Callithrix jacchus: one gene and its partner. The protein of the gene in region 1 purifies or fractionates together with the protein of each later gene. This does not show direct contact. Links are inferred from orthologs where the notes say so. Each region holds a gene or a part of one and is shown on either strand. Other genes may lie near its edges. The genes, in order: NXF1 and NXT2.

What was found.
Region 2: the proteins of NXF1 (region 1) and NXT2 purify together in Homo sapiens (co-immunoprecipitation; 5 studies listed by BioGRID and IntAct, counting the BioPlex papers as one, with this or other methods). This does not show direct contact. The link is inferred for Callithrix jacchus from reciprocal best matches to the Homo sapiens genes NXF1 and NXT2.

What each region holds. Positions count from the first base shown.
Region 1 is NC_133511.1:120,076,776-120,092,632, reverse strand, and holds the start of NXF1 (nuclear RNA export factor 1), read left to right. Parts: upstream 1-4,253; 5' UTR 4,254-4,337; coding exon of another isoform or gene 4,338-4,365; intron 4,366-5,564; 5' UTR 5,565-5,580; coding exon 5,581-5,662; intron 5,663-6,043; coding exon 6,044-6,230; intron 6,231-6,449; coding exon 6,450-6,603; intron 6,604-8,125; coding exon 8,126-8,209; intron 8,210-8,302; coding exon 8,303-8,407; intron 8,408-8,529; coding exon 8,530-8,610; intron 8,611-8,718; coding exon 8,719-8,788; intron 8,789-8,928; coding exon 8,929-9,017; intron 9,018-9,144; coding exon 9,145-9,252; intron 9,253-9,854; coding exon 9,855-9,964; intron 9,965-11,792; coding exon 11,793-11,829; intron 11,830-13,313; coding exon 13,314-13,382; intron 13,383-13,461; coding exon 13,462-13,517; intron 13,518-14,288; coding exon 14,289-14,396; intron 14,397-14,509; coding exon 14,510-14,568; intron 14,569-14,675; coding exon 14,676-14,791; intron 14,792-14,909; coding exon 14,910-14,952; intron 14,953-15,846; coding exon 15,847-15,857. Other genes in the region: STX5 (syntaxin-5), read left to right, coding at 2,083-2,242.
Region 2 is NC_133524.1:105,979,661-105,995,220, forward strand, and holds NXT2 (NTF2-related export protein 2), read left to right. Parts: upstream 1-1,129; 5' UTR 1,130-1,216; coding exon 1,217-1,314; intron 1,315-2,292; coding exon 2,293-2,377; intron 2,378-2,554; exon of another isoform or gene 2,555-2,623; intron 2,624-3,385; coding exon 3,386-3,472; intron 3,473-6,819; coding exon 6,820-6,964; intron 6,965-7,848; coding exon 7,849-8,030; 3' UTR 8,031-10,036; downstream 10,037-15,560. UniProt on the Homo sapiens protein: Regulator of protein export for NES-containing proteins. Also plays a role in mRNA nuclear export.

The DNA of each region.
Region 1 (15,857 bases):
TTTTTCTTTGTTTTTAGTAAAGATGGGGTTTCACCATGTTTGTCAGGCTGGTCTCCAACTCCTGACCTTGTGATCCACCTGCCTCTGCCTCCCAAGGTGCTGGGATTACTGGCATGGGCCACCGCACCTGGCCTTTCTTCTTTCTTTTGCTGAATTATTTGAAAGTAGGTGGAAATTTAATGCTGTTTTATCCCTAAATACTTTAGCATGCTAAGAATAGGGCAGTCTCCTGAACAACCATAATGTCATTTTCGTTTTTTTTTTTAATTTTTAAATTTTTTTAAGGCCATTACCTGCTGATTTTTTGTTTTTGTTTTTTAGTTTTTTTTTTTTTTTTTTTCATAATGTCATTTTCAAGCTACTGGGGAGGGTAAGGCTAAGAAAATTAACAGTTCTCCAGCATGATCCAGTATTCAGCCCATGTTTAAGTTTCCCCATCTGATACTTAAAACAAAAGTTTTTATCTTCTTGTCCTTCAATTTAAGACCCAGGAAGATTCACATTTTGTATCTGATGTGTCTCTTTAGTGTGCCTTTTATTTTTCGTGACACCAATTTTTTTGGTTCAGTGCTTTCTCATGATTAAATTTAGGTCAAATACTTTTGCCCTGATGACTACATTAGTAGGCAGTTGCTTACGTTAGCCCTTTATTGCTGAGGTCAATTGAATCACTTATTCAAGGTGCTAACCATTAGACTAAGCACACTTATCCGTTGGTATTATGGGACATTGGCTCCAAGAGCCCCAGAGGATACCAAAATCCATGCATGCTCAAGTCCCATAAAATCATGTCATATTTGTATGTAATCTCTCATCCTCCAATATACTTATTTTTTTTTAAAAAATTGTTTTTATAGATAAAGAATCTTACCATGTTGTTCAAGCTGGTCTCCAACTCCTAGGCTCAAGTGATCCTTCTGCCTGAGCCTCCCAAAGTGCTGGGATTACAGCCTAGCCACAACTGGGGGTCTACATCCTTTTTTTGTTTGTTTTGTTTTGTTTTGTTTTTGAGACAGGGTCTTGCTGTGTCACCCATGCTGCAGTGCAGTGGCACAATCTCATTGCAGCCTGGAGCTCCTCAACTTCCTGGGTTCAAGCTATCCTCCCACCTCAGCCTCCCGAGTAGCTGGGACTAAGAGGGTCACATCACCACACCTGGCTACTTTTTGTATTTTTTGCAGAAATGGGATTTTGCATGTCGCCCAGGCTGGTCTCAAACTTGTGAGATCAAGTCATCTGCCCACTTCAGCTTCCCAAAGTGCTGGATTTCCAGGTGTTAGACACCACGGCTGGCTATAGAGCTTTTTTATCCCTGACTTCCTGTACATGTCATGAAGATTTCCTTTTTCACTCAGAACCATGATTTCCTGACTGTAGTGTCTGAACTTTTTTCCCCTTACAACAAATATAATGTGTACACATCAGATAAAAATCTGTAAATACTGATGAGCAAAAATTATAACTAACATTTTGGGGGCTCTTGTGGGTTACGGACTTTATATTTGTTAACTCATTGAAGACTGGCAGCAGCCTGAGGGAAGGTAGGGTTTGTGTAGACCTCGTTTTGCCAGTGAGGAAAATGAGGCTTGAAGTTAAAGACTACCTTAGAGTCTTAAGCTAATAAATGGCAGAGCTGGTTTTCAAGTCAGAAATAACTCATTTATAGCCCTCTTCAAAAGCCTTTTCTATTCACAAGAATGGGATCATATTGTGACCATCTTTCCATGTCAATAAATTGGCCTGGTATGGTGGCTCACGCCTGTAATCCCAGCACTTTGGAAGGCTGAGATGGGTGGATCACAAGGTCAAGAGTTCGAGACCAGCCTGGCCAGCATGGTGAAACCCCATCTCTACTAAAAATAAAAAAATTGACTGGGCATGGTGGTACGTGCCTGTAGTTCCAGCTATTCGAGAGGCTGAGGTAGGAGAATTGCATGAATATGGAGGCAGCGGTTGTACTGAGCTGAGATCCAGCTGGGGCGACAGAATGAGACTCCATCTCAAAATAAATAAACAGACTTCAACAGCATTCTTTTTAATCCAGTGTCCTTTTGTTTTCTCTTCTCCCGGCCTTGTTCCCAGGATCGACGAGAATGTGCTAGGAGCCCAGCTGGACGTTGAGGCCGCCCATTCAGAAATCCTCAAGTACTTCCAGTCAGTCACCTCCAATCGGTGGCTCATGGTCAAAATCTTCCTCATTCTCATTGTCTTCTTCATCATCTTTGTGGTCTTCCTTGCTTGAACCTGCTCCACTCTGAGGCACTCCGTTGGGGTTTGGGACCCTCCTGGGAGGGCAAGTAGCCGATGCTGCCACCGAGCCTGTGCAGGGTGCTTGGGAGAAAGGCCCTGTTTCCCTGAAACTGCTAAGAATGGCCACTGCCCCTGATCTCCCACCCCTTTCCTCTGGCCACCCTGTCCTGCCCCCACCACCCTCAGGCCCTTGAAACACACACAGTTCTGGATTTGGACTCTGCTGTGAAGTGACTGGAAGGGAGCAGAGGCCGCTGGGGGCCAGCTGGGGGAGGTTGCCTCTACTAGGAGATTTTTATAAACCCTCTCCAACCTCTCCCAAAGAAAACTTTGGCAGCAAAGGGAGATGATGCCGTTCCCCACTTTTCCTGTGAGTGAAGAGAGGAAGTAAAATGTCCCAGGGACCAATTTTCCCATCTGGGTTAGGACTTGACCTCTTCTTCCTCTTTCACCATGTGAGGCAGGGAGCCCTGAGCCCTTCAGCTGCCTGCACAAACTCCAACATTGGCTGCTGGTGACTCTCAATCTGCCAAATGTGCTGCAGCCCGTTTTCTCCCAATTACAGCAAGACTGTCATCCTTACTAGCTATGTCATCATTTCTGGGTGGGAGCGTCGAAGGGCCTAGGCAGTGAGTGGAATGAGCCCACTGCCCAGTACCAGAACTGAAAGGGTTGGGCTAATGGCTCTGCAGGGTATTACTGCTGACAGGCTATATTGGGCTCTGACACACAGCTGCCTCCAGGCAGGGCAGAACCAAGTGTTGCAACACTTCATTAGCATAGAAACTTCCTTTCACACAGGGGAGCAGGATCCCAGAGGGGGTCCTTGATTGGTGGCAACTTCCAGGACCATCTCAAGCAGTGTTTGGACCTGTTTGATATCTTCCTTAAGCTAAGCAAGGTAGAAGCTCTGCCTGCTGCCAGGAGTGGAAGGTGGAGGATTTGTTCCCAACTCCAGCTGAGGCTTTTGGTTCCCTCCAAGCCCCTCACCAAATCAAAGCCAATCACAGAGACTGGAGAAGACACCTGCCCAGAATACCCACCATCCAGGTGTGCTTTGTTCTTCCTGACCAAGACTTAACCACATTCTGAGGCTACTCGAGTGCCCCTGCCTCACATATTCCAAAGGAAGTTCAAGCTATAGAGACAACAATCAGGGGCTGGTGCTTCTGGGGGTCTAGGAGATCCCAAGGCCCTGATACTTTAAAATGTTCTCCTTGGCATCTCCAGCAAGTTGTCTGCCACTGCTGGTGAGCTTCACTGTCGGCCTTATTGACACGATGGGTTTCTAGTAGGGAACGTCATTGATGGAAGGTCTATAATGTCAATGCTCGGCAAAGCCCTGATAGATGCCGTCTCATTTGACTCAGCAACTCGCGGCGGGGCGGGTGGGGAATGCAAAGAACAGAAATTCATTTATTTCACAAATACATGTTGAATTTCTACTATGTGCCAGGCATGGTACCGAATCAAGCCCTCGAGGAAGAAAGCTATTAATTAGTCAAGGTTCCTGCTCCCATGAAGCTTACATTCTAATTCTCAACTTCGTGATTATTAATCCATCTTATAGGCAAAGAAAGCGAGGCATAGACAAGGAGCCGAGCTGAAACTGGCTGGATTCCGGTGGGGGTCTAAGCCATCACTTCCACCTGGAGGCGCATCACTTCCACCTCGGAAGCCCTTCGTGCGGTCCCCTTCCCCGCTCTGAACTCTGGGCTGCAGTTGCAGCACTCTGTTCCAGCACTAACTCTGGAGGTGCCCAGGGCAGCGTCAGCGGACAAATGAAAAGGTGCCAGGAGCTGCTGGCAGCCAGCCGGAATTCCGCAAGCTCAGGCCTTGGGCGGGGCGTGGAGGGTCGGGCCCCGCCCCTCACACGACGGGCTTCAGTGTGCGCACGCGCAGTGGCCGCGCTTTCTACAGCAGTGGCACCGCCCACAGCCTAGAACGTCAGCGGCGCGCGACGTGCTATTCCGAATAAATGCGGTGGCGCCCGTCGTAGGGACACTTTGGTCCTGAGCGCTTGGGGGTTCGGACGTTTGGTGGCGTAGCGGCCCGCGCCTGAGCCCGCCCTTGCTCTTCGCTGTGGTATGGCGGACGAGGGGAAGTCGTACAGCGGTCAGTGCTGGTCCTTGAGTCGAGAGCCGGCTATCTGGGACCCCCGGGTGGGAGGCGCCGGCCTAGGCCTCAGCCCCCGGGACGTGAGGCCGCAGGGGCTCGGCGTCCGTGGGGAGCGGCGCGCGGAGGAACCGGGAGCACTTGAGGTGGACACCGAGTTGTTGAACTCCTGGATTCCTGTTGGAATCCTGGTGTTGGAGGACCTGCGGCTCGGAGCGGGTGGCTTGGGGGTGGGGTGACCGGATTCCTTTGAACTTTGTGGGTGGTTGATGCCTGTCAGTTCGGTTTGGCGGCCTGACTCTTCCTTTAATGTGAGTTAGTGCCCTGCTCGTGGGCTGCCCTGGTGCCCTATTTTTTACTGCGTCCAGTCGGTCTTGAAACCTCGGGCCTGGGTTTGGCTTAATATTTGAGACACCTCAACTGGATGTTCTAGTCTGAACACTACACTGGATGTTAGTCCTTTGTAGTAGTTAGGAGTGCATGGCGGAGGTTGAAACCGTGAATTTAAAACTCGTTTTCCACCTCCTTAATGCGGAATAACAACAGTATCTGTTTTTTAAGAGTGGAGGAGGCGGGCAGGGGTGCGGGGAATGAGATCATTTCTATCAAGTGCCTGAAGCATAGTGGCCGGCACTGGAGAAAGTTCTCAGTGAATGTTAGGTGCGCCTTCTGTGTACTTTTTTTCTTGGGGTCATTTGTTGAGATTCATTGTTTACAGTATCTGTATTAGGCAGACTTCTTTTGGGAGTTAGAGACCTTTTAAAGATGCCAGTCCTACACAGCATGTGTCAGAAGGTCATATTCCTGGAGAGCATTCCAGGATCCCTGGTTAAGCACCTGAGCCTGGCACTGCCAGTAGATCCTGAGTCTAGAAGTTGTCTGTCTTCTGAGTTAAAGGCCATTTCTGGCCAAGGAAATGAAGAGCTCCTCACAAAACTTCCAAGTGGCAATTTGAGAACAAGAAGAATTTTTTAGAGGATCCTTAAATTGGTCATATTTGTAACTGGCATCTGTACTGTGGAGAAAAAGTACTGAGTGGCAGATTTCACGTGGCTATCAGAGGTCTGATTTGTGTTCAGTTACACTTTTGGTTGTCACATTTCTACCTTCTGCTTCTCTCTAATTCCAGTTTCTGCTTCATTTTTCTTTTTTCTTGTTTTTTTTTTTTTTTGAGATGGAGTTTCGCTCTTGTTACCCAGACTGGAGTGCAATGGCATGATCTCGGCTCACCGCAACCTCCGCCTCCTGGGTTCAAGCAATTCTCCTGCCTCAGCCTCCCATGTGGCTGGGACTACAGGCGCGTACCACCATGCCCAGCTAATTTTTGTGTTTTTAGTAGAGACGGGGTTTCACCTTGTTGACCAGGATAGTCTCGATCTCTTGACCTCGTGATCCACCCGCCTCGGCCTCCCAAAGTACTGGGATTATACGCATAAGCCACCGTGCCCGGCCTCTGCTTCATTTTTCAAAAGCCCTACACAATTTTCCAATAACTTCCCTGATGCTTCCCTCCCACAGAGAGGGTTCTTACCGCTGGACTGCCAGTGGAGTTTGCATGGACATGGCCTCTGTAGTTAGTATGTATTTCTTCCCATAGTGCAGAGTACTAGAAACTGATTGCTACGCCAAGCAGGACCAGTTACTTACTCCTAATTTGTGTTCCTGTTTCTAACTTCAGAGCACGATGATGAACGTGTTAATTTCCCTCAAAGAAGGAAGAAAGGCCGGGGTCCCTTCCGGTGGAAATATGGTGAAGGAAACCGTAGGTCTGGAAGAGGTGGTTCTAGTATTCGGTCTTCCCGCCTTGAGGAAGATGATGGAGATGTGGCAATGAGTGATGCCCAAGATGGTCCCCGAGTACGATAGTAAGTGACCAGTTGGTCTGGTTTGAATTTAGTGGCCCATGAGATTATATGGCCCTTTTACTGTCCATGTTATTTCCTTTCCAACCTGAAAGAGTGAGAAATGCCAGGAGTGGCTTAATGATTGAACAATCTTAGTTGTAGTCCCACTAACAGTGCAGGTAGGTCTCTGAGAAGACTTTCCTAGCATTTATGGTCATTTTATTCTCTGCTTGCCCACAGCAACCCCTATACCACCCGGCCTAACCGTCGGGGCGATACGTGGCATGATCGAGATCGCATTCATGTTACCGTGCGGAGAGACAGAGCTCCTTCAGAGAGAGGAGGAGCTGGCACCAGCCAGGATGGGACCTCAAAGAACTGGTTCAAAATTACAGTGAGTTCTTGGAGAAAGTAGATAGTGCGGTAGCGATGGGAGGCTGCAGTCAGCCTGGAGATGTTTAGTTTTATTCCACAAAAATTACTATTTTTTTTTGAGATGGAGTCTGCTCTATCACCCAGGCTGAAGTGCAGTGGTGTGATCTCAGCTCACTGTAGCTTCCGCCTGCCTGGTTCAAGTGATTCTTCTTTTTTTTTGGATGGAGTTTCACTGTTGTTACCCAGACTGGAGTGCAATGGCACGATCTCAGCTCACTGCAACCTCCGTCTCCTGGGTTCAAGCAATTCTCCTGCCTCAGCCTCCCGAGTAGCTGAGACGACAGGCGCTCACCACCATGCCCAGCTAATTTTTGTATTTTTACTAGAGACGGGATTTCAACTCATTGACCAGGACGATCTCGATCTCCTGACCTTGTGATCCACCCGCCTCGGCTTCCCAGAGTGCTGGGATTATAGGCGTGAACCACCGTGCCTGACCATCAAGTGATTCTTCTGTTTCAGCCTTCTGAATAGCTGGAACTACAGGTGTCCACTACTACGCCTGGCTAATTTTTGTATTTTTAGTAGAGACAAGGTTTTGCCATATTAGCCAGGCTGGTCTCAAACTCCTGACCTTGTGATCTGCCTGCCTCAGCCTCCCAAACTGCTGGGATTACAAGCATGAGCCACCACATCCGGCCCAAAAATTATTTTTCTCAGCTCTTTACTTCACAGTCAAGCATCTATCTTTTCTCCTAGGAATCAGTATCTTCAGACACCTTAGAGCAGGTTCAGAGAAGGGGTAAATGAGAAATATGAAAACTGGTTGGGGGAGGGAGTAATTTCTCTGGATGTCTTCATTTGGCTCAAGCTGAGTGTGGGGCTGGGAGTCCCTGGAGTTCTCTGAGGGGCAGGCCAGGTGTAAATAATATCTTGGAACTTTTAGAATCAAAAAATTGATTTTTTTTTTGAGGGATAAGTTTAAGTGGGCTGGGTGCAGGGGCTCATGCCTATGCTCCCTGCACTTTGAGAGGCTGAGGCAGGGGATCACTTGGGGCTGGGAGTTTAAGACCAGTCTGGAAATACAGCAAGACCCCTTCTCTACAGAAAAGGGAAGCCAAGCATGGTGGTACATGCCTATAGCCCTAGCTACTCCAGAAGGCTGACAGGAGGATTGCTTGAGCCCAGGAGATGAAGGCTGCAGTGAGCTATGATTGCACCACTGCACTCCAGCCTGAGTGACAGAGTGAGGCCCTGTTACTAAAAAGAGAAAAAATAGTAAGTGTAAGTGGACAGAAAGGAGTTCACAGCTATTGTCCTTTAACTTGAGCAACAATAGGCTATATAGGCTGTATGACATGTCTAGTATTGTGCAGAAGGCACCCAACCTGAAGATCCTACGTGTGTCTCGAGTAGAAAACCTAATACTGGTCCTTTCTTTAGAATGTCTTTTAAAGTTTAGTAGAAGGTATAAAAGGCATTGTATTGGGTCTGCTATTCGGCCTTACTTACAATTCCCTTCTTTTCTCTCCCATTTCTAGATTCCTTATGGCAAAAAGTATGACAAAGCATGGCTCCTGAGCATGATTCAGAGCAAGTGCAGTGTGCCCTTCACCCCTATTGAGGTAAGACAAGGCCTGAGTGGCTGGCTGGCTGGGCAGCAGGGATGGGCAGGGGGCTCTGGACTCCCAGTGTAACGCTCCTGTTTCCTCTTGCAGTTTCACTATGAGAATACACGGGCCCAGTTCTTTGTTGAGGATGCCAGCACTGCCTCTGCATTGAAAGCTATCAACTATAAGATTTTGGATCGGGAGAATCGAAGGGTGTGTTTAAAGGGCCTAGCTTGGCTGGAGGTGGAGGTTGGTGATCAGAGAAGGGACTGGGTCTTGGTCTTGCAGCTTAGGCTCCCCTCGAGTTTTCTGTGCCCTTTGTGTCTTCCCTCCAGATATCTATCATCATCAACTCCTCTGCTCCGCCCCCGACTATACTGAATGAACTGAAGCCAGAGCAAGTAGAACAGCTAAAGGTGAGGCAGGCTCAAATTAGATAAGTTTCCAACCCAGTCTTACCACTTCTCACACCCCCACCCCACACACACAATCCCAGTAACCACTAAACCTGTCTTCCTTTGTAGCTGATCATGAGCAAACGATATGATGGCTCCCAACAAGCCCTTGACCTCAAGGGCCTTCGTTCAGACCCAGGTATGGTTGATAACAGTAGTTCTCAGATAGGTGGTGACAGGTGGGGATCTGTCAGGGAGGGAAAATTTGAGGATATTTTAGTGCTAACGCTGGCCTGGGCAAGACCTCTCAGTTTTCCTTTCCTTCCCTTCTTCCTGAAGATTTGGTGGCCCAGAACATTGATGTTGTCCTGAATCGAAGAAGCTGTATGGCAGCTACCCTGAGAATCATTGAAGAGAACATCCCTGAGGTAACGCCTTTGACCCAATATTAGGCATGAGGAAGCAGGGTGGGTTAGATAGGATGTGGCTAGAGGGCAAATTTGTCTCTGATCCACTTGCTGGTGGTGCTTCCTTTAAACTCCTTTCTCCTCACAGCTATTGTCCTTGAACTTGAGCAACAACAGGCTATACAGGCTGGATGACATGTCTAGCATTGTGCAGAAGGCACCCAACCTGAAGATCCTAAACCTTTCTGGAAATGAAGTAAGAGTTGATACCTTGGCTGTGTTTTTGAGGGGGGTGGGTAGAGGGTGTGCAGGGTTTGTCTGGTGACTGCAAGAGCCAAGAGAAAGAACTCAGGCCAGATGTGGTAGCTTGCGACTGTAATCCCAACACTTTGGGAGGCCAAGGCAGGAGCATCACTTAAGGATAGGAGTTTGCCTAGCTACTTCAGGGGGCTGAGGTGGGAGGATTGCTTGAGCTCAGGAGCTCAAGGCTGCAGTGAGTTATGATTGTGCCATTGCATTCCAGCCTGAGCAACGTGTCTCAGAAAATGTTTAATGAAAAAGGCCAGCATGATGTCACATGCCTGTAGTCCTAGCTACCCAGGAGTCTGAGGTGGTAGGATCTCTTGAGTCCAGGAGTTTGAGGCTACAGTGAACTATGATCATGCCATGGCACTGAAGCCTGGGTGACAAAGCAAGACCTTGTCTCTAAAATTTAAAAAAAAAAAAAAAAAAAAAAGAAAATCTAAAAAGATTAAACAAGATCTCAGAGCAGAGCTAATGGTAGGGATTGGAGGTGTGGGGATCCAACTGGCTCTCTTCACCACAATCTCCTCCCATTTTTCCCCCCACCCTTTGCAGTTGAAGTCTGAGCGGGAGTTGGACAAGATAAAGGGCCTGAAGCTAGAAGAGCTGTGGCTTGACGGAAACTCCCTGTGTGACACCTTCAGAGACCAGTCCACCTACATCAGGTCAGTTGTAGACTCTGTCTCCCCTCCTGGGGACCTTCACCCCCTGGGAGGCTGAGCTAATGCATCCTGACCAGTGACCGTCTGCAGGAGATGTGCAGCCCTGAGCTGGAGCCACCTATCCTTTGGGAGGATCACGTGCTCCCCACTTTGGTCTGTCTGTGCCTTCTAGCTTTGTCCTAAGATCTCCTCTCTTTACTTTTCACCTGACTGCTGGGACTGTGGCCCTTCTTTCTCTTTGCTTCCTGAACACAGCCTTTTCTAGAATCTCCCCTATCCTGTTGTTCCAGGAAAGGCAACTCCCCATTTCTACTCTGACCAGAGGGTATCTTGTACATACCCTATAGATGGTGTTGCCTTGTGCCAAGAGCCTGGTGTCCATGGGCTGAGGAAGCTCTCCCTATCTGAGATTTCCTTCTGAGATGGGCCTTCCCTCCTTGTGTACTGTGATGGCCCCTCTTGCCCTTGTGCCAAGAGGGACCCTTTTCTCAAGATCCATTTGCCCAAGGCTGTTGCCTGGGCTTTCCTGCCCATGCTGAGGTTGAGGCTTCCTAGGGGCTGGTGCCATGCAGTCTGTCTCTTGCCCAGTGCTATGACCTGGGCTCTCCCTGGAGAAGAAACCTGGGTTCCCCAAGATGTGACCAGAGCTGGGGCCCCGCCAGCAGGCGTGGGACTCCCAAGGCAGGTGCTGGGCGTGGAGGCCATGGGGGCATAGTCTACCAAGGAGACAGAGAACCGACCCCCTCGGGGGCGCTGCCTCTCCCTCACTCACACACTGCACATCACCCTGTTTGGCCCCAGTGGATGGCTGGTTAGCCAGAGACGGGTAAGATTCCTCAGGGAAGGAACAACCTAAGACAGGCACAGTCGCAGAGGGGCCATCAGGAGAGAACTTGAAGGCAACAGAGGTGAGGCAGAGACCCTCACCCTCACAACCATGCAGGGTCCTGAACCCTTACACCTTCTGAGGGAGGTCTCCTGCCCCCATGGCTGCTTTGCTTCCCATGCCCAGCTCAGATCGGGACCCAGGTAGCAGACAGAGACCTGGCCAACAGCAAGTGCCCACTCGTCACAGCAAAGATTTGTTTCTCATTTCTAACTTGGACCACAGGGATGGGGCTGCTGAAAGAAAGGGCTGTGTCAGGCTGTCTTTCTCCCTTTTCTTTCTCCCTCGTTTTTCTAGATGCGTTCTTACCTTGTAGTTCTTTCCCTTTTTCTTTGCTTTCTCTTGCCTTTTCCTCTCTATCTCTTAGACCTCCTCCATCTCTCCCTTGCCCCTGTCCCTGCCCCATCCTGCCTTTTTCTCTTTTTCCTGCTTTTCCTTTCCTTTCTTATTCCTTTGCTTCTCAATTCCTGAGCCCCACCTGCTCATCTCCCTGCCCCAACATCCTGTGCCATCCCTGTGGTGTGTTTGGGTCTTGGCCAAGGCCAGACCTGGCAGAACTGATGGATACCTGGTGAGGCAGCGGAGCCCCTGGGCTCCCACCCCATTCCCTCCTCCCGGGGCTGCACAGGTGAGTAGGTGGAAGGTAAGGGGGGCAGGGAGGGGAAGGAGGTCCTGGGCTTAAAGCCTGGGCTTGGAGTGCTGTTCATTGTGGCACTCAGAGTCAGGCAGAGAGAAAAGAGACAGCCTTCAAGGCAGTCCGTGTCTGGGTGCCCCGGGTCAGGTGGGGAGTGGGGGCCATTTTTTCCTGAGCGCAGGCTGGGAAGGAGTGGAGGGATGAGCAGGATGGGATGGGCTGTCCCTTGGGTTTGGTATATTTGCTCCTAGAGCAGCCCAGGAGGCACGGTGGCTCTGAATCGTCACTCACTTCTGTCCCATTCTTGACAGCGCCATTCGTGAACGATTTCCCAAGTTATTACGCCTGGTAAGTCTATAATTTTTTTTCATTTTAACAAGCACACAGCATTTCTCACTCACAAGATTTCTGGATACTTTTCTTTTTTCATTTTTTGAGACGGAGTCTCGCCCTGTCACTCAGGCTGGAGTGCAACTGCATGATTTCAGCTGACTGTCACTTCCTCCTCCCAGGTTCAAGTGATTCTCCTGCCTCAGCCTCCCAATGGCTGAGATTATAGGCACCACCACGCTTGGCTAATTTTCATATTTTTAGTAGAGACGGGGTTACACCATGTTGGCCAGGCTGGCCTTGAACTCCTGACTTCAGGTGATCTACCCATCTCAGCCTCCCAAAGTGCCGGGATTATAGGATTACAGGTATAAGCCACTGCACCCTGCCCTTTTTTCCTTTTTTTTTTTTTTTTTTTTTTTTTTTCAGCAGAGTCTTGTTCTGTTACCCAGAGTGCAGTGGTGCAATCTCCACTCACTGCAACCTCTGCTTCCTGGGTTCAAGCGAGTCTTCTGCCTCAGCCTCCTAAGTAGCTGGGATTACAGGCATGCCCCAAGACGCCTGGCTAATTTTATTTGGTTTGGTTTGGTTTTTTGAGATGGAGTCTCACTCTTGTTGCCCAGGCTACAGTGCAGTGACGTGATCTCAGCTCACTGCAACCTCCACCTCCCGGTTCAAGGGATTCTCCTGCCTTAGCCTCTCGAGTAGCTGGGATTACAAGTGCCTGCCACGTGCCTGGCTAATTTTTTGTATTTTTAGTAGAGATGAGATTTTGCCATGTTGGTCAGGTTGGTCTTGAACTCTCGACCTCAGGTGATCTGCTCACCTCGGCCTTCCAAAGTGCTGGGATTACAGGTGTGAGCCACAGCGCCCCAACCTCTTTGTATTTTTAGTAGGGAGTGGGGGCCATTTTTCCCTGAGGCCAGGCTGGTGAAACAACATGGTGTTTCACCATGTTGGCCAGGCTGGTCTTGAACTCCTGACCTCAAGTGATCCACTTACCTCAGCCTCCCAATGTGCTGGGATTATAGGTGTGAGCCACCACGCCTGGCCTGGATTCCTGGATACTTTTCATGATGCTTTTACACTTGACGTTTGACCCTTCTCTCCTAGTTCTTCATTCTATTTATGCATCCAGTCTTTTTCTCTCATGTTTGCACTGACAACTTTCCGTTTGTTTTGTTTTTTGAGATAAGATCTGGCTCTATTTTCCAGGCTAGAGTGCAGTGCTACAATCTTAGCTTTTACTGTAACCTCCACCTGCCAGGCTCAAGTTATCCTCCCACTTCAGCCTTCCAAGTAGCTGGGAATAGAGGCATGCACCACCATGCCCAGATGATTTTTGTAATTTTGATAGAGATGGGGTTTTGCCATGTTGCCCAGGCTTGTCTTGAACTTCTGGGCTGAAGCCATCCTCCTGCCTCAGCCTCCCAAAGTTCTGAGATCACAGCTGTGAGCCACTATGCCCAGTCTACAGTGTCAACTTTTACTTCTTTCCACAGGATGGCCATGAGCTACCCCCACCAATTGCCTTTGATATTGAACCCCCCACGACGTTACCGCCCTGTAAGGTAAGAAGCACGGACAGAGTAACAACTCGTGTGTGAAGGGAATACTGCTTACATGGTCCTAATACCTGTTTGATTCCAGGGAAGCTATTTTGGAACAGAAAACTTGAAGAGTCTGGTCCTGCACTTCCTTCAGCAGTAAGTATCCCAGGACCCCCTTTCCCACAGCCCAAGGTTGAGGAAAGTCGGGCAGACCCAGGCACACCTCACTTTTTTTTTTTTTTTTTTTTTTTTTTTTTTTTGGACAGAGTCTCATTCTGTTGCCTTAGCTGGAGTGCAGTGGCACAATCTTGGCTCACTGCAACCTCTACCTTCTAGGTTCAAGAGGTTCTTCTGTCTCAGCCTCTCCATAGCTGGATTACAGGTGGCTGCCACCACGCCCAGCTAATTTTTTTTTCTTTTTTTTTTGAGATGGAGTCTCACTCTGTCACCCAGGTTGGAGTGCAATGGCATGATCTCAGCTTGCTGCAACCTCTGCCTCCTGGGTTAGAGTGATTCTTCTGCTTCAGCCTCCTGAGTAGCTGGGATTACAGGTGCCCGCCACCATGCCTGGCTGATTTTTTGTATTTTTAGTAGAGATGGGGTTTTGCCACATTGGCCAGCTTGGTCTCAAACTCCGTATCTCAGGTGATCCACCCGCCTCTGCCTCCCAAAGTGCTAGCATTACAGGCATGAGCCACCAAGTTCAGCCATTTTTTTGGAATTTTAGTAGAGACAGGGTTTCACCATGTTGCCCAAGCTGGTCTCAGACTCCTGGGCTCAAGCAATTCACCCGCCTGGGCCTCCTAAAGTGGTGGGATTATAGGCATGAGCCACCGTGCTCAGCCACAGCTCACTCTTGGGAGGTACTGGGTCCTGCTGTGGCTCTAGACCACAGAGCCTATGCTTTCTTTTTTGTTTTTCCCACAGGTACTATGCTATTTATGACTCTGGAGACCGGCAAGGGCTCCTAGATGCCTACCATGATGGGGCCTGTTGTTCCCTTAGCATTCCTTTCATTCCTCAAAACCCTGCCCGGTAAGTATCACATCCCAGAATCTGCCTGGTACCACAGGGTTTCCCAGCAGATACAGGGCAGCACTTGCTGCAGCAATGCTCTGACACCGTGTCCTTTCCTCTTATTCCCCCAGAAGCAACTTGGCCGAGTATTTCAAAGATAGCAGAAATGTGAAGAAGCTTAAAGACCCTAGTAAGTGTGTGATGTGAACAAAACAGGATGGGAAAAGGGCATGGGAAGGAATCTATCATAAAACTCAGGAGTATGTGGCAGCCCCACTGAGCTTTCTCTACCCACAGCCTTGCGGTTCCGGCTATTGAAGCACACGCGTCTCAATGTTGTCGCCTTCCTCAACGAATTGCCCAAAACGCAGCACGACGTCAATTCCTTCGTGGTAGACATAAGCGCCCAGACAGTAAGCTCCTGCTTGTGCCCTGACAGAAGCCTAGAATTGGGATGGGGGTGGCATTTAATAGGCATGGTTGGGGTGCGCTCAGAAGTCTACATTGTACCTGATGCTGCTTCTGTTTCAGAGCACACTGCTGTGTTTTTCTGTCAATGGGGTCTTCAAGGAAGGTAAGAATCTTTAAAGTCCTGAGTTTGTAGCATGGTCCCACCCCCAGCTGGAATGTACCTCAGCACTCTTAGCTTCCCAGCTACTTTCTCTCCCATTTCTTTTTCTTTTTCTTTTTTTTTTTGAGACGGAGTTTCGTTATTGTTACCCAGACTGGAGTGCAATGGCACGATCTCGGCTCACTGCAACCTCCACCTCCTGGGTTCAGGCAATTCTCCTGCCTCAGCCTCCCGAGTAGCTGGGACTACAGGCACGCACCACCATACCCAGCTAATTTTTGTATTTTTAGTAGAGACGGGGTTTCACCTCATTGACCAGGATGGTCTCGATCTCTTGACCTCGTGATCCACCCGCCTCAGCCTCCCAAAGTGCTGGGATTGTAGGCGTGAGCCACCACGCCGGCCCCATTTTCTTTTTGAACTCCTTCTCCCATTTTGCCTCCAAGCCATCTTGGCTTGGCCTCCCCTCCGCCTGTCCTGACAGGATATTGGAAAAGCCTGGGGATTAGGAAGACTTTGGAGTCAGGCAGTTCTTAGTTTCCATCCTGGTTTTGGTTGTGTGGGGCCGTGGACAAGTAACATTACCTCTAAGACTTAGGTTATTTATTTGTAAGATGGGTAATAGCCATCTCACAGTGGTGCTATAGAAGTAAAATGAAATAACTTACAAAGTGCTTGGCCTTGGGCCTGGCACACAGATGCTATCAGTGGGTTAGTAGTTATTAGTATTATTGTACTCTCTGCCCAACCCTTCACCCCACCTCTACTTCCCTTATACATTTAATCATCCCTGTCTGGCCCGCTAGTGTTCTTCGTATCAAATAAGACCATGATTCAAGAAGCTGTTTGTAAACCACTAGTGATCCTAAGGTGTCGTTGCTCTTGTTCTCATTGCAGTGGATGGAAAG
Region 2 (15,560 bases), on another chromosome or scaffold:
TCCAAGAAAAGCCTTTTCACAGCCTTCCTAGTCATTCTTCCCAAGTTTTATACATTTGCAGTTATCTAGTGAGGCGCAACTCTGTATCTTATTCACTTTGTTTCCATTTGTATCCCTCCGCCACCACCCAACATAGTTTTCATATCTTTAAATTCACTGCTCTGACAACCAGAGCCCATCATTGTTTATCCAGTCTCCTACCTTTGTAGCACAATCTAGCAATTCCCAGTTTGTAGCACAAAATTCCATGCAAAAATTCCATGCAAAACTGAGCTCTCCCCCACCTCTAACTCAGCTGTCCCTTTCCAGTACTTCAACACTCCCATATTTTCCAGCACTCTTTCCCACACCAACAGCCACTCGCATCGCCATAAAAGAGATCAGACCAAGGTAGGTATTTAAAGATTATGAGAATTTGGAGGAAAATAGATAACAGAGTTATCAAAGTTTGTGTATAGAAGAGAGAAAGGGGGAAAAGGGGAGAAGTGGGGGTAGAGAGGGAGGGAGGGAGCCAAGAACAGAGGGAAAAAAAAGAAAAGAGGAGGGAAGAGAGGGGAGGGGGAGAGGGAGAGGGAGAAGGGTTGCTATAGGGAATGGTCAGAACTAAGCAAGTTACTTGGAATTTCTTTGTAACACAATAATGTTATGTTTATTGTCTAGCACTCTCATTACACTGCGAGCTTCATAAGGATACAGATCATGTCTATTTTATTCACCACTCTCTATATATACTTCCGAGAGAGAATGGGAGGGTACAAAAATCTGTCCCGGCACATAGTAAATACTTGATAAATATTTATTGAATCAATTATGATGAGGAGGAGAGGGGAAACAAAAAAATAAAGATTCCGAGAATTCAAGATAAGTGACTGGGAGAACACAAAAGTTTGGAAATGCAAAGGAAACAATGAGTTAAAATCTTGGACATACAAGTTTGAGAAGCCTACAGTGCACTCTGGTGTTCATCTTTAGCAAAATTCATATATGTAATTCGAGCTCAGATACGGCGTGGGGGCTTGGTATCTTGTTGAGATTCATTAGCATACGGGTAGCCATTTAGATCACCCGGAAGAAAAAACTTAAAAAAAAAAAAAAGGGGATGCTCCGGAAGTGACGGAGGTCAGAGGTTAGCAGGACGGAAGTAGACCAGCTGAGAAGAAGCGGCAGTTAGAGCTACGTTAAAGAGAAAAGTGCCAGGTAGAGTAAGATTAAAAGTATGAGAAAATTCAGAAGCAACTGGTCTCAGGGAGACAGAGAAAGATACCAAGAAAGAAGTGACTCTTATCGGGAGAGGGCAGGCACCAGCTACTTAAGGTAAAACTACAACATCTAATTAATTTGCCATTTAAATCCGAAGTCATTGGTGGATTTGAGATGAGCGTTTTTTAAGGAGCAAAGTCAGATTGCCATGACAGTTGTGTTGCTGGAGTTTGAATCTCTACTAGTTCGTGACACCATAGGGCAGCTTCACTCGGTCTTAGCTGTAAAACGGAGATGATAAAATAATAGCAATTTTACCTCAGCATTATTATAAGTAATAAGTGATATGTGTAAAACTGATTAGAAAAACACCTTACATATAGTCAGCACTCCACATTTTAATTATTGTTAGAATACTTTGCAGAATAAATAGCCCTTCAAAGGTGGTGAATGGCACTGTAAACTTAATTTATGTTGGTGTCTGCAAGACATTTTAAAATGCCGGAATGGAGAAACTAGATAAGCATTTCTTGTTGAATATGGCTAGCTTAGAAATCAAATAGTAATTTTAGCCATACTGCCAAAATGTAGTAATTCTACATTTTGTGAGGATGGTCCTTTCAGAATGTTCCAGAATGTTAAAATTGTTCCCTAGTCATGCACGCCTTTTCCCCAAGCTCTGCCCCTTTATCTATAGGCTATGGAATAGTAGGACTCCTCACATTTCGAATTGGTCTTCAAGGGCTTTGGCTCCGCCTCCTGCGGCAAAAAAGTCCTTGTAATTGAACCCTTTCATTTTTGTTTGTCCCCAAGTATGTCATTAGAAAACTAGGGGACTTTCCTTTTGAGTACAATGTTTACAAAAACAAAGCGGTTTTTAAATTTTAAACTAAGTAAATAAGTATCAAACAAGTAGATAAATGAGGCGGATGGGAGAGATCTGCGGGAACTGAAGGGAGGTGGAACTTAAGGTTGGAACATCGGTGTGCTTTTAACGACGGACCGAGCTACTTCCGGGAGAGAATGGGAGGGTGGAAAATTCCGTCCGTTTCTTGGGTTTCGCGCTCTTTCTAAGTATTGCTCATTCCGCAGCCGTGAGAGGTGGACACATCAGGAGGTGGTGACGTCGCCACTTCCGAAACCCGTTGCTACAAGCTCCCTGATGGCCTCGTCTGTGGTGAGTGCCCGGGCCGGGGCAGGGCGACTGGGCGCCGGGCTCCAGTGGCTGAGGAGAGGGCCTCCGGGGCGGTCTGGCGGTTGCTCACGTGGGTAGGTGACGAATCACGGAACAGCTCTCTGCACCGCGGGGCGGGGCCCACGCTTTGCTACCCGCCCCGCCGGCCCGCCCCCGCCTGGTTTGCAATCGCTTTCTGGTCGGGGAAAGGGACCTGAGCTAGGAAATACCGAGACGCGGCATGTTGGGGTTTGTTGTTTGTGGTTTGCAGTCTCTTTCTCTTGATTATCCCCCTCTCTAAAAATCACTTTAAGTCACCTGACAAAGAAATTGGCGATTCATTGTTCTTAATTTAGCAATAGACTGGGCCCCGTAAATTAATGAGGAAGAAGGTATTCTTTAATTCTCCGGCACGAACGCCAACAGCGTTGCTTTCTTTGGTTTCACAGTTCTTATGCAAACATCAGTGAACGTTTACCTAAAGTGCGAAAGTTTCCTAAGTGGAGCTGCCAGGTTTTCAAGTAGTTGAACTAATACTTTCGTGTGTGTGTGTGTGTGTGTGTTTTCCATTCTTGAAGTCTGGCCCTAACATCTCACTTGAAAAGAGAAAACGCTTTCCCAGCTTATTCAGTGGCAGTTTTTGCCATTCTCTCTCCTTCTCTAAAGTTCAGGTGGTGTCATTTTCATTGCCATGAATGTTTTGTAAAATATTGAGTCTAAAGTACTTAGTTGCCAGGAAAACATTATAAATATTTATGTGGAGAATGAAAAACAGTCCGATTCATTGAGAATATTATGTCCTAAAGACATGAACTTAAAATTACTGAAAAATTTTTTTAATTGAAAACTTTAGAGCCCAGACTTTAAAATGTCTGAATTTATATGAAAGAATGTGGACTGTATATAGAGCTACATAGTGGTTGAAATAAATCATCAGCTTCTATCAGTGGTTTTGTGTTTGTGAGGGGCTGAAAAGGTTGGTAATATATACTTTTGGAATTTTTCTTGTAGGATTTTAAAACTTACGTAGATCAGGCATGTAGAGCTGCTGAGGAATTTGTCAATATTTACTATGAGACAATGGATAAAAGAAGACGGGTGAGTGTTATAGACTCTACTAATCTTTATAGATTCTACTATTCTTTATTAAATACCAGGTCTTGTCTGGAGCCAGCCTTTCATCTGACTTGCATAAATGGTAACTGTGAACTTATTCTTTAAAAGCAAATTGCTCAGCAAAGGATTGTTCTGTCATTAGTGGGAATATGGGCTCTGGAATCATATCCCAGGTTTACCTTTACCTAGTTCCTTGACCTGGAGCAAGTTGCTATTTTCCCTTAATCTCATTTTATTTTCAGGTTGGTAAGTATGAACTAATTAAAATACTGCCTTAACATTAGGCCCAGCATATATTCACTTAAATATGTTACATTTTCTTAGTTCCATCAGTTAACAAATACGGTTAAGGTAGTGCTAATGAAGGGGTTGGTCATTACAGGGAATGTTTCCTCATTTGCCCCTTTTATTTCATATATTTATAGATAATTTCTCATTGTGGCTCAAAACTATAGGTTACACCCACAAAGAGTATCCACGTAGCTTTGATAATATTAAGTCCTCAACAGACCAGGATTTCATCAGGTTGTCATCAACTTATCCCTGCACCATATCTTTTAAGTAATTATTTCAGTATGTGGTCAAATGAATCTTGCCTAGGTCCCTTACCAGCATAGAACTGTGCTTTGGAGAGCTACTTCTATCCTGCAGCTGCAAAAGTTAATACCCTATCTCTGAAAACCTATTTTTTAATCAAACACATTTATTAAACATGGGATTTTTTAAATTATACTTTAAGTTCTGGGATACATGTACAGAATGTGTAGGTTTGTTTTATAGGTATACACGTGCCATGGCAGTTTGCTGCATCCATCAACCTGTCATCTGCATTAGGTATTTCTCCTAATGCTATCTCTCCCCAGCCCCTCAGCCCCTGACAGGCCCTGGTGTATGATGTTTCCCTCCCTGTGTTCATGTGTTCTCATTGTTCAACTCCCACATATGAGTGAAAACATGTGGTGTTTGGTTTTCTGTTCTTGTGTTAGTTTGCTGAGAATGATGGTTTCCAGCTCCATCCATGTAACTCCAAAGACATGGAGTTACTCATGCTTTTTTAATGGCTGCATAGTATTCCATGATGTATATGTGCCACATTTTCTTTATCCAGTCTATCATTGATGCACATTTGGGTTGGTTCCAACTCTTTGCTATTGTGAATAGTGCTGCAGTAAGCATACATGTGCATGTGTCTTTATAGTAGAATGATTTATAATCCTTTGTTTATATACCCAGTGATGGCATTGCTGGGTCAAATGATATTTCTGGCTCTACATCCTTGAGGAATGGCCACACTGCCTTCCACAATGGTTGAACTAATTTACACTCCCACCAACAGTGTAAAAGCATTCCTATTTCTCCACATCCTCTCCAGCATCAGTTGTTTCCTGACTTTTTAACGATTGCCATTCTAACTGGTGTAAGTGAGATAGTGTCTTAATGTGGTTTTGAATTGCATTTCTGTAATGACCAGTGATGAGCTTTTTTTCATATGTTTGTTGGCCACATAAATGTCTTCTTTTGAGAAGTGTCTGTTCATATCCTTCATCTACTTTTCTATGGGATTGTTTGTTTTTTTCTTGTAAATTTGTTTCAGTTCTTTTTAGATTATGGATATTAGCCCTTGGTCAGATGGATAGATTGCAAAAAGGTTCTCCCATTCTGTAGGTTGCCTGTTCACTCTGATGATAGTTTCTTTTGCTGTGCAAAAGCTCTTAAGTTTAGATCACATTTGTCAGTTTTGGCTTTTGTTGCCATTGCTTTTAGTGTTTTAGTCATGAAGTCTTTGCCCATGCCTATGTCCTCAATGGTATTGCCTAGGTTTTCTTCTAGGGTTTTTATGGTTTTAGGTCTTATGTTTAAATCTTTAATTCATCTTGAGTTAATGTTTGTATAAGGTGTAAGGAAGGGGTCCAGTTTCAGTTTTCTGCATATGACTAGCTCTTTTTTCCAACACCATTTAGTGAATAGGAAATCCTTTCCCCATTGCTTATTTTTGTCATGTTAAAGCCTATATTTTTAGGGCAGAAGATAAGAGACATTTCTTCTACAGATATTTGATGTCAGGGGAAAGGGATATAACAATGGATGTTTATTGTACCTTGTCTTGAATGTGTGTTGTACCTTACTGCTTTCAAAAAATAAAGTAGAAAAAAGACAACATATTTCATTGCCAGCATCAAGATAGGTGTTGGCCTTTGTTTTTTCTTTTTTGAGATAGAGTCTCACTCTGTTGCCAAGGCTGGAGTGCAGTGGCACGATCTTGGCTCACTGCAACCTCTGCCATCCAGTCAAGCGTTTCTTCTGTTTCAGCCTCCCGAGTAGCTGGGATTACAGGCACCTGCCACTGCGCCCAGCTAATATTTGTAGTTTTAGTAGAGATGGAGTTTCACCATCTTGGCCAGGCTGGTCTTGAACTCCTGACCTTGTGATCCACCCACCTCAGCCTCCCAAAGTGCTGGGAATACAGGCGTGAGTGACCACACGTGGCCAGCCTTTAAACCCAAGTTACATTATAGAATTAAGCTAACAGTGTGTCATGTGACCTCAGAGTTTTAACTGTTGAATTTCTGCCTCATTTGGGCCTTAACTTCTTTGAGTTATCAAAGTCTCTCCTTTAGCAAATACTCATGATTCTTTTGAACTAAGTACACTAATAGAGTAGTGCTATAGCTGAGCATGGTATGACATGCCTGTAATTACAGCTACTTGGGAGGCTGAGACAAGAGAATTTCTTGAGCCCAAGAGTTTTCAGACCAGCCTGAGCAACAGAGCGAGACCCTGTCTCAATTAAAAAAAAAAAAAAAAAAAAATATTTAAGAAAACATAGATACCTTCTCTATAAAATGCAAGTAGTGAACTAATTCTAACACATGCAAACATTAAATGTTTCATATATATATGGCCACTAGCATTAAAGGGTACAGTTAAGACTTGATTGAAAACTTTGTTAATTCTCATAATTACAAAAGGAAGACAAACTAAAACTGGCTTGGGGCTGCATGTGCTTGGAATTTGTGATCATTTCATTCATTTTAATACAGAAAGAACTTAATTGGGTGCAAGGTTTTATTTGTCTAAAGTGAAATATGAAAAAATATATTTTATTGCTTAGTTTATAAAGAATAGGGTAATATTTATTTAAGGCCAAGATTATACATCAGACATTTTGTTCGTGTTAATTTCCAGTGGAGATGGAGCAAGGGGAGTGGAGATGAAAGTAGAACTACAGAAATGTTTATATACCATCTGTAATGTTTGAATCCATTTCTATAAAATGTTTACCTAGAACCAGAATTATTTCCCTTTTTAAAATTTATTATTCTTTTTAGGCACTAACCAGGCTGTATCTGGACAAGGCCACCTTAATATGGAATGGAAATGTTGTTTCAGGGCTGGATGCCCTGAATAATTTTTTTGACGCATTGCCTTCTAGTGAGTTCCAGGTCAATATGTTAGATTGCCAACCAGTTCATGGTAAGATCATGATCTTTCAAGGTACTTCCTTTGTTTTTCTTTAGTAAGCACTGAGCTTTTACACAAAAAGCAGTGAGCAACTTTTAGTGGTAGAACTATTTACTTACTTGAGCAATTTAAATATTATGAAAAAAACTGTCCAGTCAAACTTTTGGTCTTCCTTCAGATTCTTTCCAATAGTAGGTTTTGATGGATTGTGTGATTATGGCTTATTAAAAGTTGTATGAAAAGTTGAGATTAAATGTGATTTTTGTAAATGGAGAAGAAAGATTATCTAATTTCTTGAAATAGTTGCTTGCTGGGCCCTGAAATGCCTCCATATGGTAAAATTATACCATATCTCTGATTAATGTGTTTCAGTATATTACAATCTATTAATATTTCACAGAAATTTACTCTGTTATGTGAAAGGATAACTTTTGACAAGACAGTTTGATTCCAGATAGATTGATACAGTTTAATATAACCTCTAGGTGGGTTTCTAAGTGCCTTAAATTGTAGTTTCGGGTGATTTTTTTTCCTTTATAATTCCTGAAAACAATAGTTTAAGAAGCAAAACATGAATAAGCTCTGTTAGAAACCTGAAATATTAATTATGAAATATTAATATATATATGAAGCAAATGGTCCTATGCTAGATATAAGCTCTTTATTTTGAAACTTTAGAGTAGCCCAAATTTTTCTGGACTGAAAATGTTAATATCTTTGAATGAATATTTAGTTTTCTGGATTTGGGTATGCATGCTTAAGATTATGTTCAAGGGACAGAAAGTTGATGGAAAAAAGTTTAAGCGTTAGACCATAAACCATGTATTTTAAGCCTGAAAATCTGCTTATTTGAAGATAGAAACTGTCCTGTTTTCTTTTTTTTTATGTGGATAAAGAGCAAGCAACTCAGTCCCAGACTACAGTTCTTGTAGTGACCAGTGGAACTGTGAAGTTTGATGGAAACAAACAACATTACTTCAACCAGAACTTCCTGCTCACTGCACAGTCCACTCCCAACAATACTGTGTGGAAAATTGCAAGTGATTGCTTCCGTTTTCAAGATTGGGCTAGTACTTAAAGGGGCAAACCTCCATTCTCATTTAGTCCATTAGTTCCAGCAGCAGAAATTTATGTCAACTATTTTGGTTGTAGAAGCACTATAATATGTGCTGAAACCAAATTTCTTTAATATTTTTTATTCCTATCAGCACCTTTTCTACCAGATGCCTGTTTGGAATGTTGCCCTTTAAGAGCTTTAAAGCTACTTTTTTACATGCCTTATATACATTCCACTAATGACATTCTTACAGTAATATTAAACACATGATTTTGGTACTAACATACTCACTGTGAACCCAGCCTATTGCAAAAATAAAATCCTTTTATAATACTATCTATGGAATGTCAGCACAATATCTCTCTGGGAAGAAGTGGAGTTTTCTGGTTATTAGGTTAATTTTGTAGTAAAACACATTGCCTGTTTTCTGCTAACACTGGAAATGCCATTTTAATATATGGCTTTTTCAGATCAGTTCAGTGAAAATAGTACAGATTTAGGTTTACATAGCTACTCTGACATATTAGAATTGCATATAGAGATGTTCAGTAGTCTTTTTTCATGTTAAGCAATATTTTTTATTTTGGTGTGTTTTCTTATCAAGTAAATCAGCTAGAGAAGTGCAGAATATTCTCAATTGATAATCTGAGTATTGGGTGCATTTGGTGGATTAAAAGCAAAGTTTCCTGAAAAGATTTTTCTTGGCAGCTCGAGGTCTATACATTTAGGTAATGAGTGGTAGTAGAACTAATAGCTTTAACAGGGTTATAGGTAGGGAATGAGAAATAGAAATCCAAGGCTGAAGCCAAAAGTAAGGAGGGTAGCCAAATGGTAAACTGTTGATACTTGTTTTCTACCTCCTAAAAATGTAGCTTATGTTTAGGATTTAAATTACTGAGTTAATAAGTATCCTTGCCAAATGGTCATGAATGTCACTTTTCTTCTAAGACTAATATTTTTAGATCTTTTCACTTCATCTCGTACTTATCACCAATGTATAGCTCCATTTATTCAAGAACTTATGGGAGTAAAATAATAGCAATAAGCCTAACCCTTTAAAAGGGTCTAACATGAGGGAGTTGGAGCCAAATCCATTGCTATCTCTTGGTGACACCCTTAATTTTTAAGTCTTCCATGTGAACTTTAGGCTCTAAAGCTTCTTATGTATCACACATCCCCCAAATAAATGATTTTTTCCCAGTGTTTTGTACTGTCAACTGCATTATCTTTAGTTATTAAAAGATAGAATTATTTAATTTTGTGGTTTGTTCTTCCATGTGACATTGGGTAAATAGATCTGTTTTAAAATATGTTCCTGCTATGTGGCTAAATCATTGTCTTTTTAGAAAGAAAATAGAGAATAGCAGATCTTCATGATAATCCTCAAAAGAACAAAATGCTTAACTTTTTTTCAATTTCTAAAGGTAAAAAACCTAGATTCAGTTTTTGCTTAAACATTAAGTGCTTTTCCATTTTTTAATATTGGTAAGCTAGATATGCCAGCTTTGTTTCTACATTGCAACCAAAAGCTGTTTCTTTTCATTTAATTGTAAAACGAGTAATTCATTTACTCTTGCCCAAAACTGTACACTGTACTTCTATTATACTAATAACATAGAATTATATAGGATAATTGTATGGAACTCAAATTTACACCATGCTTTCTTGTAGTGATTGAAACTTATACATTTTATTCTACCCATAGTGAGCTTATTCTTATTTTAGATCGATTTTCTAAAACCTCAGCTTTAGCAGCAACAGTCAGAATGCCCAAATGCTGCCCTTTCCCTTACCGAGAATGATGTCAAGTAAAAGCTGCACATAACTAGCAATAACTAAATTGAACGGTGTGTATTGTTCATGATTGTCGTGTGTTTTAAGACTTGTATATAAATTGCTTTTTCCAAACTCTGTATAACTTCTAAATGGCTGGAACTACTCTTATAGGGACTAGACTGTATTTTTGACATGTTCTTATTTTTGTAACTTGAAAAAATAAAATTTTGCCATATGACAGATGTCATCAAGCTTGTTTTAAGGTCTTTCGATTTTTGTTCTTAGATTTCAGAATGGGTACTTTTTTCTTTGCAATATGAGGTTTTCCAAATTTAGGGAAAAAAAATTACAGTAATGTGTTAACAATGGTTGACAACTTGGATCTTTTTTTTTTCCTTCTGTAACCTACCATATCTTTCTCCTTTTCCTGCCAATTATTCACATTCCTGAGATCATCACTTGTTTGAGATACCTGTGAGGTTTTTGGTGAGAAGTTGGAAATCTTAGCCTTGAGAAACTAGCCAAAATATAGTTGATTTCCAGAAAGAATGGTTCCATTAACTTTAATGCTATTAAAAATATGTCAACAGACTTCTTTGGAGGGGAATGAGAAAAAGCAATACCCAGCCAGGCGTGGTGGCTCACGCCTGTAATTGTAACACTTTGTGAGGCCAAGGTGGGAGGATACTTGAGTCAAGGCATTCAGATACTTGAGACCAGCCTGGGCAAAGTAGCAAGACCACTGTCTCTATAAAAATCAGCTAGCAGCGGGGGCTGGGGATGGTGGCTCACATCTGTAATCCCAGCACTTTGGGAGGCCAAGGTGGGCAGATCCACGAGGTCAGGAGATCGAGACCATCCTGGCTAACACCATGAAACCCCGCCTCTACTAAAAATACAAAAAATTAGCTGGGCGTGGTGGCACGCGCCTATGGTCCCAGCCTCGGGAGGCTGAAGCAGGAGAATCACTTGGACCCGGGAGGTGGAGGTTGTGGTGAGTAGAGATTGCACCACAGCACTCCAGCCTGGGTGACAGAGTGAGACTTTGTCTCAAAAAAAAAAGTTAGTGGGGCACAATGGCATGTGACTGTAGGCCCAGCTACTAAAGAAGCTAAGTTGGGAAGATCACTTGAACCCAGGAGCTCAAGGCTGCAGTGAGCCATGAATGCACAACTATACTCCAGCCTGGGCAATGGAGCAAGACTTCATCTCTAATTTTAAAAGAAAATAATAGCTCTTAAAATTAAAAATCATATTTTATCTCTTCAAAGATGCATGTATTTTTCACATTTTAACATCCCTGGAATTAGTACAGATATTAAATTGATGTCATATCATAGTTTAGTCTCATTTCCATTTTCTCAGTGGTAAAGTAATGGTGAGTCTTATAAACAGTGGCATCTTAGGAGTTTTGCCTAGATAAAAATGGCTAAGAATCTACTTAGGTCTAAATTTGTAGGTATTAGTGGAAGTGAAAGGCTGTAAGCTTACAAAACTAGTAATTCATGACTCAAATTCTGTCACAATGCCTTTTGTATTTCATGAGTAGCCTATATGGCTAGAAGAGCCACAGACTCAGTGAATTTGAGTCATGGTAAATTTTCGTGGTTTTTGGAAATTATCTAGTAATGTATAGTGTATCTAAAAAGATAGTCCCAAAGAGGTTCAAGCATAAGCACAGTGTTTCGAAAGGGAACAAGAAGTCAAAAGCCAAGAAGGTACAGTGAATTCTTTTCTGGAATTTTGATGAATTCATTATTTGCCTGAAATTGGGCAGGAAATTTGGTGGAAGGGGATCCCATTTACTGATTTTTGTTATAAGCATGTGTTGTCCTTCCTACCCTGTGTGTGCTTTAACATAACCGCACATATTTAGGGGAAAATGGTAAGGCATTTTTGTCTTTTTGATTTTACAGTTGACTCTATACAATAAAAGTATTTCATCAAAACACTTGTTACCAAACTATTAATAAATGCTCACCCTTTGCCAAATGCAGCTGTCTTTACAAAAGAGTACTCAGTGACTCTCAGTCAGCTATGTAGGTCAGTCTAGCTTTCTAGAGAAGCAGTAAAAGGTAGAAAAATGTATTGTTGGAATAATGTGTCAGATTGAGGGGTCTTAGGACACAGCATAAACCTGGGCTTGAGGTATATGCATTCTTTAGATAGGTAGCTTTCAAAATTTTTACCGTGACCCATAGTAAGAAGTATATTTTATATCACAACCCCAGTATAGAGATGTACAAGTAAACCTATATATGCAGTGTGTGTGTGTGTGTGTGTGTGTGTGTGTGTGATGTCCAAAATAAAACTCATGTTTACCACTTGCAGTGTGGTCCTGGCATTTTCTATTTCATTCTATTAATTTTTTTGAAAATGCTGATCATAAATTGCTCAACTGATTTTTTTACAACTTTCTAAGGGGTTGTACCATCAGTTTAAAAAGCACAAAAATAGAGCAAGCATATTTTCACTATCACTTTTGAGTAGGGATATAGGGATGGCTTCCAAAAAGTAGTACCATGTATCAGTGATGTCACCCTGACTTGGAAGTGACCAAAAACTTTCTCCTCTCAGGCTTTTCATGTTTGTTGAGGGCCATGAAGGGCAGCAGTCTTTGCCTCCCATTCCTTGGTTTGCATGAGAAGTTTAGAACTAAGAAAGCAAATCCTTGTGTTAGTCTTTAGGCAGAGTTTGGGAAGAGAATGAGTGGCAATGAAAAGGAGTTGAATTGGAAGAAATGGTCCTATTTCAGTTGTCCAAGCAAAAAAGTGAGAAGGCATTCTAGCAAAACCACTTTGGAACATGATCTGATATTATGTAAGCTGTATTTTGATAAATTTTAAGTAAATTTCATTTTTTTCCTTTTCCTCCCTCCTTGAACACCCCAAAAAAGGAGTGGATTATTCATGCCTCCCTTTTTAGACTATATAGGGTAACTTCCTGATGTTCCATGAATAATTCACTCCTTGCTTAGCACCCATCTGCATATCAACTCCCCTTGTTTTACAAAGGCTGTGGTGGTCTCTAAGGTGTAAATACTGGTCCCAGACCCAAAGAAGTCCTGTATTCTAAGGCCCTTCTGTCCCTAATGTGTTTTGTGACTTTGTGCAATTCACTTACTCTGGGCCTCTCTCTTCAGCTGTTGAATGGAGATACTGTTTGTCCTATCTTGCCCACCAAGTGGTTGTGAGAATCAAGTAAGGCAACAAATGAAAATATTTAAGTGCCTCATGCTACATACCTGTAATGGTTACACTTTTTGGCTTGGTGATTGGTTTCCTCCACTCCCAAAATTCTGGTTTTCTTTAAGGGTAAAATCTTGAGAATGATTGTTTCCCACAGCCAGACACTAATTCTAATCCTTGCCCCTGCCTTTACTGTGTGTGTGTGTGTGTGTGTGTGTGTGTGTGTGTGTGTGTGTACACACACACATATACAAATTTGCAAGAGTCTTTCTGTAACCAGAAAAACAAAATGGACTGTAACATTATTCATTCCAATTCTCTTGCTCAAGGGCAGGAAATTAGCAATAGACGCCTGCAAAACTTAACCAATCCCGGTACCGGGGTCTGACTTGGAGACCTGAGCTGCCTGAGGTGGCCAACAAGGCCTTTGTTTTCCTGTCTCTTTTGTGTTGTTTCTGAAAGAGCCTCTGGAAATGATTTTTCTAATGTGCTAATCTGTCTGTCTGCGGCACCCAGGATTCCCAGAGGTCTGGGCTCAATCTCAGACCTAATAATTCAGTGGCTTTGGATGTTGCTGAGGAGAGAAGACAAGCCTGGAGATGGGATGGAAGGAGAAATTAGTTGGGGGGCAGGTGAAGGAGGAGGGTAGGTAGGGACAGTTGGGAAGACACTGCTTTCCAAACAACTGAAAATAAAAGAAGAGGAAGTGGGGAGAGAGAAATGGAAAAACAGCCTTCCTAGACAGGTAATTTATAATAACTGGAAGGAAAATGAGGGCTGCAGCTAAAAATATGTATACACTCACAAATCTCTGGAAGGCCAGTGGCAAAACTAGGAACTAGGAGACTTCCTACCTCCATGCCCTTTTCTCCCATCCTTCTTGGGTGCTATATTGCTATGCTTCCCAAGGCCCCCACTGTTGTAGACTCTAGACCTAACCTGCCCTCTCTTTAAATCCTTCAGGCCTCACCCTCTCCTTTTGAGCTAATTTGTTAACTCTTCACTATGGAGGCAATTGGCTTTTATCTTGGGGTTGTTGCATTTTGGCTGGAAGTATCTAGAACAACACCATAAGTGAAAGGTATATTTCATTAGTCTTAGTGTCAGAAGCATTTGAACCAGAGCAACTTCATCTTGAGCAACACCTGGGTAAAATGAGGCTGAAACCTGCTGGGCTGCATTTCCAGGAGGTTAAAGCATTCTAAGTCACAGGTTGAGATAGGAGGTCAACTGCAAGACAGAGGTCATAAAGGCCTTGCTGATAAAACAGGTAGCACTAACGAAGCCAGCCAAAACCTACCAAAACCAAGATGGTGACAAGAGTGACCTCTAGTCATCCTCACTGCTACGCTCCACCAGCACCATGACAGTTTACAAATGCCATGTCAACATCAGGAAGTTACCCTATATGGTCTAAAAAGGGGAGACATGAATAATCCACTCCTTGTTGACCGTATAATTTTTTAGAAACATAAAAATGGGCAACCAGCAGCCCTTGGGGCTGCTCTGCCTCTGCAGTAGCCATTCTTTTATTCCTTTACTTTCTTAATAAACTTGCTTTCACCTTAATCTATGGACTCGCTTGAAAATCTTTCTTGCTCAAGATTCAGGAACTCTCTCTTGGGGTCTGGATCGTGACCCCTTACTGGTAACATCTTTCTGGTGAACCCCAAGGGATGATACTGAAGAAACCCCCTACCAAAAGGAAAATCATCTGCATGGACCAATTGGCCAACTTTGGGTAAGTGGGGTGCATGTACCTGGGTAAAGGATGGGATTGGGTTACAGGCCCAACTTAGGGGAGTTAGAGTCTCTCCTAAGACACAGAGGGTTAAAGGACCCTCTTAATGAACGGCAAGGATTCTTGACTGAACTTGGGTTGTAGGCCCAACTTAGGAGGGTTAGAGTCCTTCCTTAGATTTAGGAGTTTAGAGGCCCTTCCTCAGTAAAGGTCCTCTCAGCTAAGAATGGGTTTGGCACTATGGGATGTTAATGGCTATTCTCTTTGAATTAATCTATCTTCCACTTTGCTGATGGCTGTGGGTGACAGGATAAGGCATGTATAGGACCATGGGACATAGGGAGCTTTTTTCTCCCTAAAAGGGGAAACTTGTGAGTTAATGGGACTGCTAGAAAGATCCCTTCACAAACAACAAGTGGCTGCCTGAACTTTTCAATCATGCTGGGATGGGTCTTTCTCAGGCCTCTGTGAGCTGCTCGCCTTCCCCACCCTGCCACAGGCAATGCTTTTCTCTCTCTTTCTCTTTCCTGTCTTTTCCTTTACTCAGGGCAACCATCTTGCCCAAAGACCACATGTTGAAAAATTACCTTTGGGGCTTAACCTTGTGACCACATGGCAGTACTTTCTTTAGGTCTCTACCGTCACAGTGGCAATCAGGGTTCAATTCTCAGCTAAGGGAATGAGTCCTTTCTGGTTTAATATCTGTGTGGCCTTTGCATTTGTTGATTCTCTTTCCCTCTACTAACTGTCTTGAATTTTCCTTTCTCAGAGCAACTGTGAGGTTACTTTTGGTAAGGTTCAAAAGCCAGAAATACTGGCTGGTTGGCCTGGCTAAAGTTGGGTAAT